Linked DNA regions of Anolis sagrei. The protein of the gene in region 1 interacts with the protein of each later gene in a biochemical or structural test. Links are inferred from orthologs where the notes say so. Each region holds a gene or a part of one and is shown on either strand. Other genes may lie near its edges.

Region 1 (6,855 bases):
GGTGGGGCACTCTCCACCATGAATTCAAAAGCGGCCCTATTTATAAAGGGTTTAAATAAAACACATGATTTTAATTTCTTACTTTGTCTAATTTCTTTTGGTTTGGCTAGTCATGAGAGAGGAGCAAAAGGATGCATGAAACACATCTCCTGTCTCTTCGTGTTTCACACAGGCCCCGTTCTGCCTTTACCAACCATTCCACGTACTTTCACAATTTGTTTTACCAAGTTTGTGGAGTAAATATAATTGTTTTCTTTCATTTATGCTTCTAAAAATGGGACGGGTGTGACATCAGAGAACCTTGGGATACTGACTACAGTATTAAATTCGATCCTTGTACAAAATAGTTTTTTTTAATCGTGTCAGAAGCAACTTGAGAATATACTGCAAGTCACTTCTGGTGTGAGAGAATTGGCCTTCTGCAAGGATGTTGCCCAAGGGACACCTAGATGTGTTACCATCCTGTGGGAGGCTTCTCTCATGTCCAAGCGTGGGAAGCTGGGGCTGACAGACAGGAGCTCACCCCGTCTCGTGGATTCAAACTGCCAACCTTAGCAAAATAGACATAGTTCAGTTCTCACTCATTGTTGTCACACAATATTTTTGGTCCATGTTCCTGATAGAAGAGGCCTATAGCTTTCAGGATCCATTCTGTGCCTGCAGAAGAGCCAGTGTTCAGTCCTTGGCATCTCCAGATAGGACTTCATGTGACCCTTTCTGTAACCCTGAAATGCCATTGTCTATTAAGGAAAGCATGAGTGATCTAGATAGACAAATGGACCAACCTGCTACAGTCAGCTGTCCACATTCACTGGCAGTAAGGGCACAGGATCCCATGAAAAAAACCCGTGAATAAAAAAATACTATTTTTAAAACTGAGAGAACACCTCTCTAGGAATTTCAAGGTTCTCCAGCATAACTCTGTGGTCAATTTCTGTTGGAAGCTGACCATAGAATCATTCCCTGGAGGATCTCGGGATTCCTAGAGAGAACATTTGAATCATATCTACAAAAGTCAAACTCGCAAATGTGGAGTCTAGATTAACTGAAAAGGCATTGAGTCAGTTGCTTCTGCATTTCTTCTTTTGCTTGATGGCGTACCTATGCTTTGATCCAGTTTTGATGTTGAGAAGATTTCATGGATCAAAAAACGTGTGTTTCCTGTCTAATTTCTCCAGCCCTTAGTGCAGGGCTTTCCAAACTGAGTCACGATATGTAGGTGTGTCTTTATCATATTGGGATATAATCCATTTATATCAATAAAAAAATAAAGATTTTTCCTTCATATTAAGTCTAGTTGTGTCCAACTCTGCGGGGGGTGGTGGTGGTGGTGGGGTGCTCATCTCAATTTCTAAGCTGAAGAGCTTAGAAATGTCTGTAGATGCCTCCAAGGCTATGTGGCTGGCATAACTGCATGGAGCGCCATTACCTTCCCACTGAAGCGCTACCTATTGATCTACTCACATTTGCATGCTTCTAAACTGGTAGGTTGGCAGAAACTGGGGCTAACAGCGAGTGCTCATCCTGCTCTCCAGATTTGAGCCGCCGACCTTTCAGTCAGCAAGTTCAGCAGCTTAGAGTTTTAACCCACTATGCCACCGGATGCATCCTGTATTGAGCCCCTACGTCCCATCCTGTAACCTAAGATCATCCGGGGAGGCCCTGCTCTCGCTTCCGTCTACTTCGCAAATGCATTTGGCAGGAATGAGAGACAGGGCCTTCTCGGCGGTGGCTCCCCGCCTATGGAACGTATTCCCAAAACGATAGAAGATCGACTCCATCCCTCCTGGCTTTCAGGAAAAAATTAAAATCATGGTTTTGTGGACAGGTTTTTGGGCAGCAGACATAATGAGCACTTTAGTTGGACATTGACTGGAATTGATACTATCATATTGCTCTACTGTTTTAATTAATGTTGTATGTACTGGTTTTAATGATTGCGTATGTATTTAATTTTGGTTATATTATTGTAATTGTTATATAGCGACATTGTATCATTACTAAATGTAAGCCGTCCTGAGTCCTCCTTCGGGATTAGAGAAGAGACGGGGTAGAAATACCAGAAATAACTAAATAAATAATCTTTATTTATACCCCACAGTCTCTCCCCGGAGGGACTTGGTGTGGCTTACTCGGCGTTAGTGAGCTTGTAGATACATTGACTCATCTTGTATCCAAATCCCCATCCTTAGACAGAGGTGTGTGTCTTACTAAATGTAAGCCGTCCTGAGTCCCCCCTTTGGGGTTGGAGAAGAGACGGGGTAGAAATACCAGAAATAAATAAATTTATACCCCACCGTCTCTCCCCGGAGGGACTCGGTGCGGCTTACTCGGCCTTAGTAAAACCTCGACCTTAGTGATCTTGTAGGTACATTGACTCATCTTGGATCCAAATCCCCATCCTTAGACAGAGGTGTGTGTCTTACTAAATGTAAGCCGTCCTGAGTCCTCCCTTTGGGGTTAGAGAAGAGACGGGGAAGAAATACCAGAAATAAATAAATTTATTTATACCTCACCGTCTCTCCCCAGAGGGACTCGGTGCGGCTTACTTGGCCTTAGTAAAACCTCAGCCATAGTGAGTTTGTAGATACATTGACTCATCTTGGATCCAAATCCCCATCCTTAGACAGAGATGTGTGTCTTACTAAATGTAAGCCGTCCTGAGTCCCCCCTTCGGGGTTAGAGAAGAGATGGGGTAGAAATACCATAAATAAATAAATTTGTTGTTCATTCGTTCAGTCGTCTCCGACTCTTCGTGACCTCATGGACCAGTCCATGCCAGAGCTCCCTGTCGGCCGTCACCACCCCCAGCTCCTTCAAGGTCAGTCCAGTCACTTCAAGGATGCCATCCATCCATCTTGCCCTTGGTCGGCCCCTCTTCCATTTGCGTTCCACTTTCCCCAGCATACTTGGATCCAAATCCCCATTCTTAGACAGAGGTGTGTGTCTTACTAAATGTAAACCGTCCTGAGTCCCCCCCTTCGGGGTTAGAGAAGAGACTGGGTAGAAATACCAGAAATAAATAAATTTATTTATACCCCACCGTCTCTCCCCGGAGGGACGCGGTGCGGCTTACTCGGCCTTAGTAAAACCTCGGCCTTAGTGAGCTTGTAGGTACATCGACTCATCTTGGATCCAAATCCCCATCCTTAGACGGAGGTGTATGTCTTACTAAATGTAAGCCATCCTGAGTCCCCCCTTCGGGGTTAGAGAAGAGACGGGGTAGAAATACCAGAAATAAATAAATTTATTTATACCCCACCGTCTCTCCCCAGAGGGTCTCGGTGCGGCTTACTCGGCCTTAGTAAAACCTCGGCCTTAGTGAGCTTGTAGGTACATTGACTCATCTTGGATCAAAATCCTCATCCTTAGACAGAGGTATGTGTCTTACTAAATGTATACCGTCCTGAGTCCTCCCTTCGTGGTTAGAGAAGAGACGAGGGTAGAAATACCAGAAATAAATAATCTTTATAACCCACCGTCTCTCCCCGGAGGGACTCGGTGCGGCTTACTCGGCCTTAGTGAGTTTGTAGGTACATTGACTCATCTTGGATCCAAATCCCCATCCTTAGACAGAGGTGTGTGTCTACGTGTGTACAGATGTCAGTTGCCCGGCTACATCCCACTTTTTTTTGTTATAAACATATCTAAGCAGGTTTTGTCTCCCTCTTTCCTTACTGGCCTCTGCACCATGGTCCCTATAACCAGGTATCTCCCTTGGCTGGTGGGTCTGGATTCGACCGTGTGGTGATGTTTGGCCGAAGCAGCAGCAGCGGCATGCCGGTGGCAGCCCTTGGCAGGCAAAGAGGAGGAGGAGGAGGGCGCCCCTGTGATGTCACAGGGAAGGAGAAGGCCTGTGAGTGGGTCATTTGGAGGTGAAGCTTTTTTGCAAGGAGAGTTCAGGCGGAGTTCAGCTGCATAACATTACGCAAATGAGGGGCGGCTAGAGGAGCAGCAGAGACCTCCCTTTCTGAGAGGGGTGATGCAGGCGAAGAAAGGGGCCGCCCGGGCCGGTTCCTTGCCATACAAAAAAGAGGGGGCCCTCCTGCTTGTCCTCCTCGCCGAGGAAGCCGCCACTGCTGCTCCGCTCCAGCGATGGGGAAAGCACCCGAGGAAGATGCAGGCGCTGCAGCTTTGTAGCTGGAGACAGCTGTTGGAGAGGCATTTTTTTCCATGGCTGTCATTTTTCCCCCCCTTCCTCCGTCCCTCCTCCCCTTTTCTTTCTTTCATTCATTCATTCCTCTCTCTTTCTCTCCTCCTCCTCTTCCTCCTCCCCCATCCTGTGCTTCCCTGCAGTTGGTTGGGGCTGCGCAAGACACAGCACGTGGCAGGTAAGGAAAGAGTTAAGCCAGTCCAGAGCCGACTTTTCGTGTCAGGAAAGATTTTGTGCTGCCTTTAATCTATCAGTCCTGTACATCACACACACACACAGAGGCGTGCACGCACCCACACATTCTCTCTTTCCCTCTCTTTCCCAGGGAGAGAAGGAAGGAAGGACCAAAAGAAATCTGCAACCAAGGAGATTCAGGGGGGGTTCCAGGCCTTGGCATCTTCTCAAGCATTCAAAACCTGACAACACATTTGTACCATTCATCTCTTCTCTTTCTCTCCTCCCCTCCCCTCCGCCTTTCCCTCCCTCTCTTTCTCTGGCAGGGGACAGAGATGCAATTTTAAGATATGTGTGTACATAACCCATGAGCACAGTTTTCGGTGCATTACATTCAGTCATCTGCTGGACAGGAAAAAGCTCTTTTATTTCTACCAGGAAGCCTTACTTCTTCTTTTTTTTTTGTATGAGTGTGTGTGAAACTTTTTCTCCCCCCTTTTTTTAAAACTGAAGCGAAAGGATATTCCTTCCCCTCCCTTTCCTTTCTTTCCTCTTGTTAGTTTGGGAGAAGGAGAGAGAACCATGGGACTGAACAGGAGGCGGAAATGTGACCAAAATGCTATCTAACACCAGTGAGTCTCCTTCTGGTTTTTGGGAAGGCGGAGTGGATTTTGTTATTATTATTTTTTTCTCAAAGTAAAACATTCCTCTTCTTTTTCTTTTCTTTTCTTTTTTTGGGATTTATAAATACATTTTGTCTCGAAACGGGAAACAGCATCTCAGCTTGGATTGGCCGGCCTATTTCCCAAGGGACGCGTCTGGAATAGAAGATTGAAGACTTGAATATTATCTTTTGGGTTTTGTTTTTGTTTTGTTTTTTTGTGTGTTTTAACTCGAAGCAAAGACACTGGTGGCCAACCCGGCCTGTTTGGCGGATTCCCCAGCCGCGTTTGGATTCCCTAAATACTTCCCCGCTAGGGATCAAGAGGCGGCGGAGAGGGGGAGAAGGATCAGGAAACAGAAAACAACCGACAAAAAGCCTCCCCCTTGTCTCTTTGGGATTCGTCGTCGTCGCCAGTATAGGATTCTGCTCTCCGATCCTTCAGAAACCAAACTTTTGCTTTGATTCCCTCCTTCCCATCCCCCTCCACCCTCCACAAGCCCCCAACCTTCTTATCCTCTTGTTCTGCCTGGAGAAGATGTACGAAAGTGTGGATGTAGCTGGTTTAAGCAACAGTCCTAACCCCTTCTTCATGATGGATTTTTACAACCAGAACCGTGCCTGCTTGATCCAGGACAAAGGACCCGGAAACCCTAACCCTTACAGCACCCCTGTCCGTAACCAGCATTGGAACAGTTCCAATCACTGTACGTATAATGCGATCCCCCTCCTGGGCCCGGCCCAGCTGGGGTGACACCCTCGTTGCCCTCTCTCCCCTCTTGCCAGCTTTTGAGGTGACCTTATTAAGAAAGATTAGGAGCTGCCCTGTAATTGAGTGGGGTGGAGGTTGGCAGGATGGGATCTGTCATCTTTGGTTTAGGGAGACCCAAAGCCTACCCTGTTGTGATTTGCATTGGAGGGTTGGGATCGAGAGCTGGGGCTATAAAATGGTGCTTTTGTATTGTGGTTGTATGCGTATTGGGGTGCGCGCTGCATGTTGGGTCCTTTTCTTATTTTTGCTTTGGAGAGAACCATGCCCTGTTGAGACACATGGCTTTCCTTTCCCCTTCCTCCCAAATGCTTTCAGATTCTCTATGAGAATTTTTACCTTTGGATTCCCTTTTAATCTGTTAGTATTAAGGAATATTTCCAATTCTGTTGGTTGTGTTTCGAGTGGTCGGTGAAGGGAATGGTGCCAAATAGCAAAATCCACAAACAAGAGTGACTTATATTTTTATATGTAGGTGAAAGGACTTTTTCCACAATGCTTTGGTGTCCAGCTCAAGTTTATGTGGGTGGATACTCCCTCCTTATTTATCAGCAATTCTCCCTTGCCATTGGCCCATATTGAAAATACTCTCAGCTGGGTCTGTAACAGTGCAAACTTCTAATATTGTCTCTGCTCAGTGCAAGTATGCCATTGCTTTCTCTTATATGTTGTCCCTTCCCCCAACTCCCCAGTGGTGGACAAACAGTCCCACGGTCTGTTTAGTTTGATCTAGGTAACAATTAGAGGACTTGCATTGGAGGGAGGAGTTGTTTATGTTTCCATAGATTGATTTTTGTATGAATTTGATCCAAATCTGGGGAAGGAAACACAGAGGAGAGGAGTTGCACCAAGTAAACTCCCCTCCTTTCCAGCTGGGTGTTCAGTTCCCAGCCTCTGATAAGATCTCCGGCAAAATCCAATTAACTAAATAGTACACCAAGCCTTTAATCTTTCTATATATACATATGCGAACAGCCTCTCTGTGGGTGAGTGGGTGGGTGGGTGAGCTAGCAGAGAATGGGATGGTAGTGGTGGGGAAACAGGCCATATTTGGGGTGAGGGTCCTTTCTGAACTTTGTGTGCGTAACATGCTGTAAT
Region 2 (7,372 bases), on another chromosome or scaffold:
AGTAGAAGGAAATAATACACCCTTAAATATATTTTGAACTCTGGCGTCCAGCATGGTCAATAGTAGATTATGGCAACTTTGATTAAAAATATTAGGAGTGCTAAAAGTTTCTCATCTCTGATTTAGATAACAGAAAAATACTTTTTTCTGAACCAGAATCCAGTCCTCACTTTGAACAAACAGAATCAAGTTGAAGAAAGACATGTGGCAGTATTCCACTGCCTTTCTCTGCTCTGTTTTTTGTTTTTTGTTTTTTTACTACTGCTTACATGAGTTTACAGTCCACACTACAATCAAGTACTAGATGATCAAGTTGAAGAAAGCCTCCAAATACTGAACTTCAACAACCAGCTTTACCTCATTAATGGATAACAGAAATTAAGATGCATTAGGTGGAAGTAATTGTCCCCCAATAGCATGGTGTGCTGACCAGGATTAAATCTCCATTCATATCAGAAACAGTAATTTCAGAGAGAGTAATAATTGTCTACCTCACCAGACTGTAAATCAGGTTTGGAAACTTCTGGCTGGCGGTGGTAAGGTTCTTCCAAAACTCCTTTCTTTCTCATAACAATATATATGCAATATAACATGTTGCTAATGACAACATAAACAAGATGATGGAAACACTTCTCCTACATACCTATTAGGAGCATCATTTTTGGGAATACGAGGCACATCAATGGGGTCATCTTGGAATTCATACTCTTGAATTTTGGGCTGTATGTTCTTGGATTTGGGCCGGCCAGGGCCCTGTCCTGTGCTGTGGCCTCCTTTCCCTTCTAGTTTCTGCTTTTTGGGTTTCCCGTGTTTGATAGGTGTGCCCACTTCATGCTCCTTGCCTAGCTTCAGAAATCGCCTGTCCCCTTTCTTGTCTTGCCAGTCTGTCAGGATCTGAACAAAACAAAAATCAACACCACAATAACTTTGTTAACTAGATCCCAGTAAAGCTTCAGTCTGTCAGGATCTGAACAAAACAAAAATCAACACCACAATAACTTTGTTAACTAGATCCCAATAAGGGGGCTCACTCTGTGAAAACTGTGTGCTGATCAGCTGTGTACCGACCTCCACACATTAAAAAAACTAATGCACAGGCATATTCCAAGAAAATAAAAACAAAACAAGAGGCACAAATGGAGGGCAAAAGGGAGAAATGTGCCAAGAGGAAGGCGCATAAAACCAACCTTGACCGGGACCATTTTCCACTTCGAAACTTATGTCCTCACTGTGGGAGAACATGTGAATCAAGAATAGGGCTCCATAGCCACCTATGGACCCACCGCCAAGAGGACCATCATCCTCGACCTACGAGGGATCCCCTAAGTAAGTAAGTATTATATTGTGAGTCGCTTAGGGTCCCATTAGGGAGAAAAGCAGGATATATAACTGGATGTTTCAGTGTGTTTTTGATTAGGCAGTCCACCAGTAATCTTCCCTGTCCCTACCTTAAGTTCAGCATTTTACACCGGCCCTTTAGCGCCCTACCTCAACACTTTTGATGACACTATTCCCAGCCCTGTCTACTTGATTGTTGATCTACTTTCCTTGCGCTCCCTTCAGTTTGTACTCCACTCATGGAGCCTGAACTGCAGCTATGTCTAGCTATGTTCTTTCTTAGCCATATTATTTTGATGTTGTTTACGATTGTGATTGTTTTATATTCTATCTGGTGCTTTTAATTGGTTGTGTTTTATTTGTAATTGTTGGACTTGTCCCTTGTAAGCTGCCCCAAGTCTCCATGGGGAGATGGTTGGTGGGGTATAAAAATAAAGTTATTATTATTATATTATGTAAACATTTCTCAGGAGCCCCCGGTGGCGCAGTGGGTTAAAGCACTGAGCTGCTGAGCTTGTTGATCAAAAGGTTGCAGGTTTGATTCCGCTGTCAGCCCTAACTTCTGCCAACCTAGCAGTTCGAAAACATGCAAATGTGATTAGATCAATAGGTACCGCTCCGGCGGGAAGGTAACGGCACTCCATGCAGTCATGCCGGCCACATGACCTTGGAGGTGTCTACAGACAACGCTGGCTCTTTGGCTTAGAAATGGAGATGAGCACCACACCCCAGAGTCAGACATGACTGGACTTAATGTCAGGGGACTACCTTTACCTTTACCTAAACATTTCTCAAGACAGGAAGGTGCTGCAGATGGAAAAAGTCTAAGAAGCCCTGCTCTGAACCATTCCAAGTCGTCGCCTAACCTGTGTCTCTGTCTCCAACACACGAAGTCGGCGGCTAGCAGAAGACAGCAGCGTTTCCAGCTCCAGCTGCAGGGTGTCGAGTTCTTCGATGCCAATCCCATCATCTTCCGAACGGGCCAAGACAGCAGTGTAGCGGGGACATACTTTGAGGTGGTCCACGGACTTAAAATCGTGGAACTGAAGGGGGCAGTCTTTGAGCTCAGACATGCTGCTGGTGGCGGTGTTGATGGTCCTGCAAAATGAAAAGCAACACAAGTGCAACAGAGGCAGGTGCAACCAGAGAGAGAGAAAGGAAGAGCAAATAAATGTGACAGCTAGAAATAAAGTGGGGTCGGCGAGGAATTGGCCCAGGCAGTTGTCATGGGAAGAGACACTAACAGTGACAGCTATTCAGTGAAGAAACAGCTTTGCGGGCATAATTAAAAAGACAAGAAGGAGTAGCTAGAAGCAAAGGCTCAGAAGGAGAAGAATGGGAGCCATGGCTTTGAGGGAAAGGGTTAAGAGGGCCAAAATGATGAGGGGTATGCAAGGGCCTGCTTCTGCAGAACTGACCAGAGCAGGCATTCAAATGGAAACACAGAATGGAGGGGGAGAAGCGAGGCTGCCTGTTTAAGGCCGGTGAAGAAGATGAATGGGGAGAGGGAAGAGGCCAGGAGGTGGCGCTGGAAGGAAAGGGGGAGAATGCTGTGGGCGGCTTCCGGTCCCAGGGTCTACTTCCGGGGCACAGGAGGACAGGACAGCTTGGGGAGGGGGAGGAGGGAGGGCTATCTACACGAATGAGCTCTACCGCATTAGACTACTTCCTCCTCCTCCGCTTCCTCCTCGCTCCCCACTTCCGGTTCCCCTTGCCGCCTTTTCATTGGCCCGTCGCTGCGCTTATTGCCCCGCCTCCGAGGGCTTAGAACCAATCTCTGTGGCCGGTTTTTTCCCCTCCTCCCGCCTCTCCCTATTGGCTGCTCCTTTTAGCCCCGCCCACGCTCGCTCTTGTTTCCAAATATGGAATCCGGCTGTCGCTTGGGTTGTACCAATTTAGGAAAAAGGGAGGTGGTGGGTTGGAAAGGAACCAGGAGGGAACTCAGTAGCCGCTGTCCTACTTTAGAGGGAATATCTACCTCGGTTTTTATGTCTCCTTAAAACGATATCGCGGCTTATTTCAACAACGGGAGAGAATTAAAAGGCCCTAAGGGCGGGATTTCAAATACAGATACCCCCCCTCTCAGAGCGATTGTGGTTCAGTCCGGATATTCCGGAAGCGGGGGAAAATCTGGTCTTGGCGGGGGTCGCTTCCGCTTCCGTACTAGGGACCAAGCTTCGGGGCTGCTGCCGCTGCTGCTGCTTCTGTCGCCTTTGCTGCCATGGTGAGTCAGTGAGCGGGAGGGCCTCGGTGGGTGGATGGAGGGCGGAGGAGGGAAGAGCTCGAGGCGGGCGAGGCGGAAGGCGAGGCCAGAAAGAAGGAGGGAAGGCCTGTCAATGGGCGAAGAAGAAGGTCCCAGAGAGAGGCCCTTGGCCACATTTCTCGCAGGATTCCTTACAGAAAAATAGTAATGTCATAATATAGTAAAAGGTAAAGGTTGTCCCCTGACATTAAGTCCAGTCATGTCTGACTCTGGGGTGTGGTGCTCATCTCCATTTCTAAGCCGAAGAGCCAGCGTTGTCCATAGGCACCTCCAAGGTCATGTGGTCAGCATGACTACATGGAGAGCCATTACTTTCCTGCAGAAGTGGTACCTATTGATCTACTCACATTTGCATGTATTCGAACTGCTAGGTTGGCAGAAGCTAGGGCTGACAGCGGAAGCTCACGCCACTCCCTGGAATCGAACCTGCGACCTTTTGGTCCACAAGCTCAGCATAATATAGTAGTGCTAATAATAATATTAATATTTTTGTTGTGTCAGGAACGACCTGAGAAACTGCAAGTCGCTTCTGGTGTGAAAGAATTGGCCGTCTGCAAGGACGTTGCCCAGGGGATGATTTGATGTTTCTACCATCCTTGTGGGAGGCTTCTCTCATGTCCCCGCATGAGGAGCTGGAGCTGATAGAGGGAGCTCATCCACTTCTCCCCGGATTCAAATCTGCAACCTGTCGGTCTTCACCCACTGCGCCACCGGGGGCTCCATAATACTAATACTAATAATAATAATATAGGCTTAAAGGGTTGGGAAGTGTTCAACTTGTGATTTCTTGATACGAAATCCAGCATATAGATCTCATTTGCAATAATTATTATTATGTACTGTACTTATACCCTGCCCTTCTCACCCCAAAGAAGAGGACTCAGGGCAGTTTGCAAACTATGGCAACAATTCAATGCCAGATTCAGATAACAACAATATCAATAGAACACAGTATTATAAAACTATAAGAAACACAAATATATAAATTAAAATAGTCTTTCAGATGATTAAAATATATTAAAACATTTCAAACATATCAAAATTACATTGCATTGAAGCACAATTACAGGTCTTACAGTCCAGGAGCCTCCGTTGGCGCAGTGGGTTAAAGCCCTCTGCCAGCAGGACTGAAGACCAACAGGTCGCAGGTTCGAATCCAGGGAGAGGCGGATGAGCTCCCTCTATGAGCTCCAGCTCCTCATGCGGGAACATGAGAGAAGCCTCCCACAAGGATGATAAAAACATCAAATCATCCGGGCATCCCCTGGGCAACGTCCTTGCAGACGGCCAATTCTCTCACACCAGGAGTCACACCTGACACGACAAAAACAAACAGCCAAAACCCTGTTAAATAACAGCTAATAATAAGAATAATAATAAAACTTTATTTATACCTCACCACCATCTCCCCAAGGGACTCGGAGCGGCTTACATGAGGCCAAGCTCAACAGTACATCAATAAAGAAAAGCAATAAGCAAAACCAGTAAATACAATACAATTAATATAAATCACACATAAACAATAACCAATAAACTGTAACACAAGGATTAAAAAACCTATGGCCGGGCCAAATGTAATAGTTTAAAATTTAAAAATAAACGCTGGGCATGAACAAGGTAGGACATAACTAGTATAGGGTTTTCAAAGAGAGGGAATGCAGTCAATCCTAACCAGTAGTAAAGTGCATTCTGAGGGCATGTTGCTTAAGAATTTTCCTTATAATAATAATAATGGTAATGGTAATAATAATATTAATAATATAATCGGCGCTGACAAAATTGCCATCTGCCAGCTGCAGAAGGCCACCTTATTGGGATCTGCACGCATTATTCACTGATACATCACACAGTCATAAACACTTGGGAAGTGTCCGACGTGTGATCCAATACAACAGCAAGCAGAGTGATCTTGACTGCTGTGGACTCGTCTTGTTGTGTTTCAAATAATAATATCGTAGTGTTAGTCATATAATAGTTTGATTAACTAACCTCAGGGGATACCAGCCACAGAAGCAGGCGAAACGTTGGGAGAGATTGCTACAGCAACATGGTCATACAACCCGGAAAACTCTCAGCAACCCAGTGGATCTGTAATTGATTAAGTGACCGAACCCAAAGGGTGCTCACTAATGGTTCCACTTCATCCTGGAAAGAAGTGACTTGGAGTGGCGCAGGGATCTGTCCTGGGCCCAGTACTGTACAATATCTTTATTACACGTAATGACTTGGATGAAGGGTTAGATCAGGTATAGGCAAACTTCGGCCCTCCAGGTGTTTTGGACTTTGATTCCCACAATTCCTAATAGCCACAGTTCCTATCAGTTGAAGTCCAAAACGCCTCGAGGGCCCAGGTTTGCCCATGCCTGGTCTAGACAATTGTAGTGGACAAGTCAGCCTGCAAAAGCGGAGTCTGCATATCCATGGATCAATGTGATAATATTAATAATGAATTTTATTTCTTAACCGCCCCTCCTTGAGTCTAGGGGACAATATAATTAAAATACATAAAAACATAAACCATTAAAATACATACTCTAAAGCCATGTATAAGTCTAGAAATTTTAGTAAACCCAAAGCCTGAGTTGACATATCCACAAGTGAGCGTGATAACAACAGCCATAACGACAACAACAACATATTTTATCTCATGCCTGCCTCTGCTCAACACCAGAAAACAACATAATTTAAAAAATGTAATAATTAAAACATATTTCTTATATGCTCATTAATATCTCTAAACCAGGCATGGAAAACTTTGGCTGTTAGGAATTGTGGAAGCTAAAGTCCAAAACACCTGGAGGGCCCAAGTTTGTCCATGCTTGGTCTAGACAGTTGAATTGTTCTTAATATTAATGATACAATTGTCTAGACAGTTGTAGTAGAGAATCTGCAAAATAACAAAATAATGGATTTTATTTCTTAACCACCTTTCCTCAAGGTCAGGGTATAATAAAATAAAATTAAAATACATACTCTATATGGATTTCAAAGTCTAGAATTTTTTTTTGTTAAAAAATCAGCTCCCAAAACCTATTGTTGACTTTTCCATAGGTCAAAGCAAGTACTGTATTTTAACACTGATCAAAAAAGGAACCTTTCAATAAAGAGGGAAAGGGCAAGAGCTTAGCTTATTCTGGGTGAACCTTAAAAAAGCATAGACACCTTCTACTGGCCTGCTGTGATGCTGCTTTTTGAATACCTGGGTGGGAGAATGGCAGCCAGAGGTGACTGACTCCTCGAGGCAGCATTGGTGTTCTCTCCTCTCAGCAGAATTACCCTCAACTTACCCCTGGGTCATATAAGAATAAATAATGTTGGCCTCAAAACCTGCCTGCAATTTACATACAATTTACATACAATGAGTGTATGTTGTATATTAAAAAATACAAACATGTGCTGGAGAACAGTGTAGGCTGGTAAAAGGGAACAATGTTAGCTAATAGGTTGATTGGACTGGGAGAATGTGGGCTGTTTTTAAGGTGTGTCGTCATGGAGACCTAAAGAGGAACTTGCAGCGTCTGATGCCTTTGCCTTTCCTTCTTTGCAGACCGCCACCCTCCGTCCCTATCTCAATGCCGTGCGTGCTACCCTGCAGGCTGCTATGTGCCTGGAGAACTTCTCATCCCAAGTGGTGGAGCGGCACAACAAGCCTGAGGTGGAAGTCAGGTGAGGAGAAGGAGGAGAATGTGCAAGCTTTTATTTCTTGGGGAGAGGGTATTGTTGTCACCTTCTCTTCCCCCCCCCCCCCCCCCCGAAAGGAATTAGCTACAA

The links.
Region 2: the proteins of RARA (region 1) and TADA3 form a complex in vitro, tested with the Homo sapiens proteins (2 studies listed by BioGRID). The link is inferred for Anolis sagrei from reciprocal best matches to the Homo sapiens genes RARA and TADA3.

What each region holds. Positions count from the first base shown.
Region 1 is NC_090026.1:39,867,866-39,874,720, reverse strand, and holds the start of RARA (retinoic acid receptor alpha), read left to right. Parts: upstream 1-3,842; 5' UTR 3,843-3,982; coding exon 3,983-4,331; intron 4,332-4,337; exon of another isoform or gene 4,338-5,526; coding exon of another isoform or gene 5,527-5,695; intron 5,696-6,855. UniProt on the Homo sapiens protein: Receptor for retinoic acid. Retinoic acid receptors bind as heterodimers to their target response elements in response to their ligands, all-trans or 9-cis retinoic acid, and regulate gene expression in various biological processes.
Region 2 is NC_090022.1:27,113,023-27,120,394, forward strand, and holds the start of TADA3 (transcriptional adapter 3), read right to left. Parts: upstream 3,010-7,372; 5' UTR 2,997-3,009; coding exon 2,992-2,996; intron 2,437-2,991; coding exon 2,205-2,436; intron 895-2,204; coding exon 644-894; intron 1-643. Other genes in the region: tubulin tyrosine ligase 3-like, read left to right, coding at 3,560-3,562, 7,149-7,267. UniProt on the Homo sapiens protein: Functions as a component of the PCAF complex. The PCAF complex is capable of efficiently acetylating histones in a nucleosomal context. The PCAF complex could be considered as the human version of the yeast SAGA complex.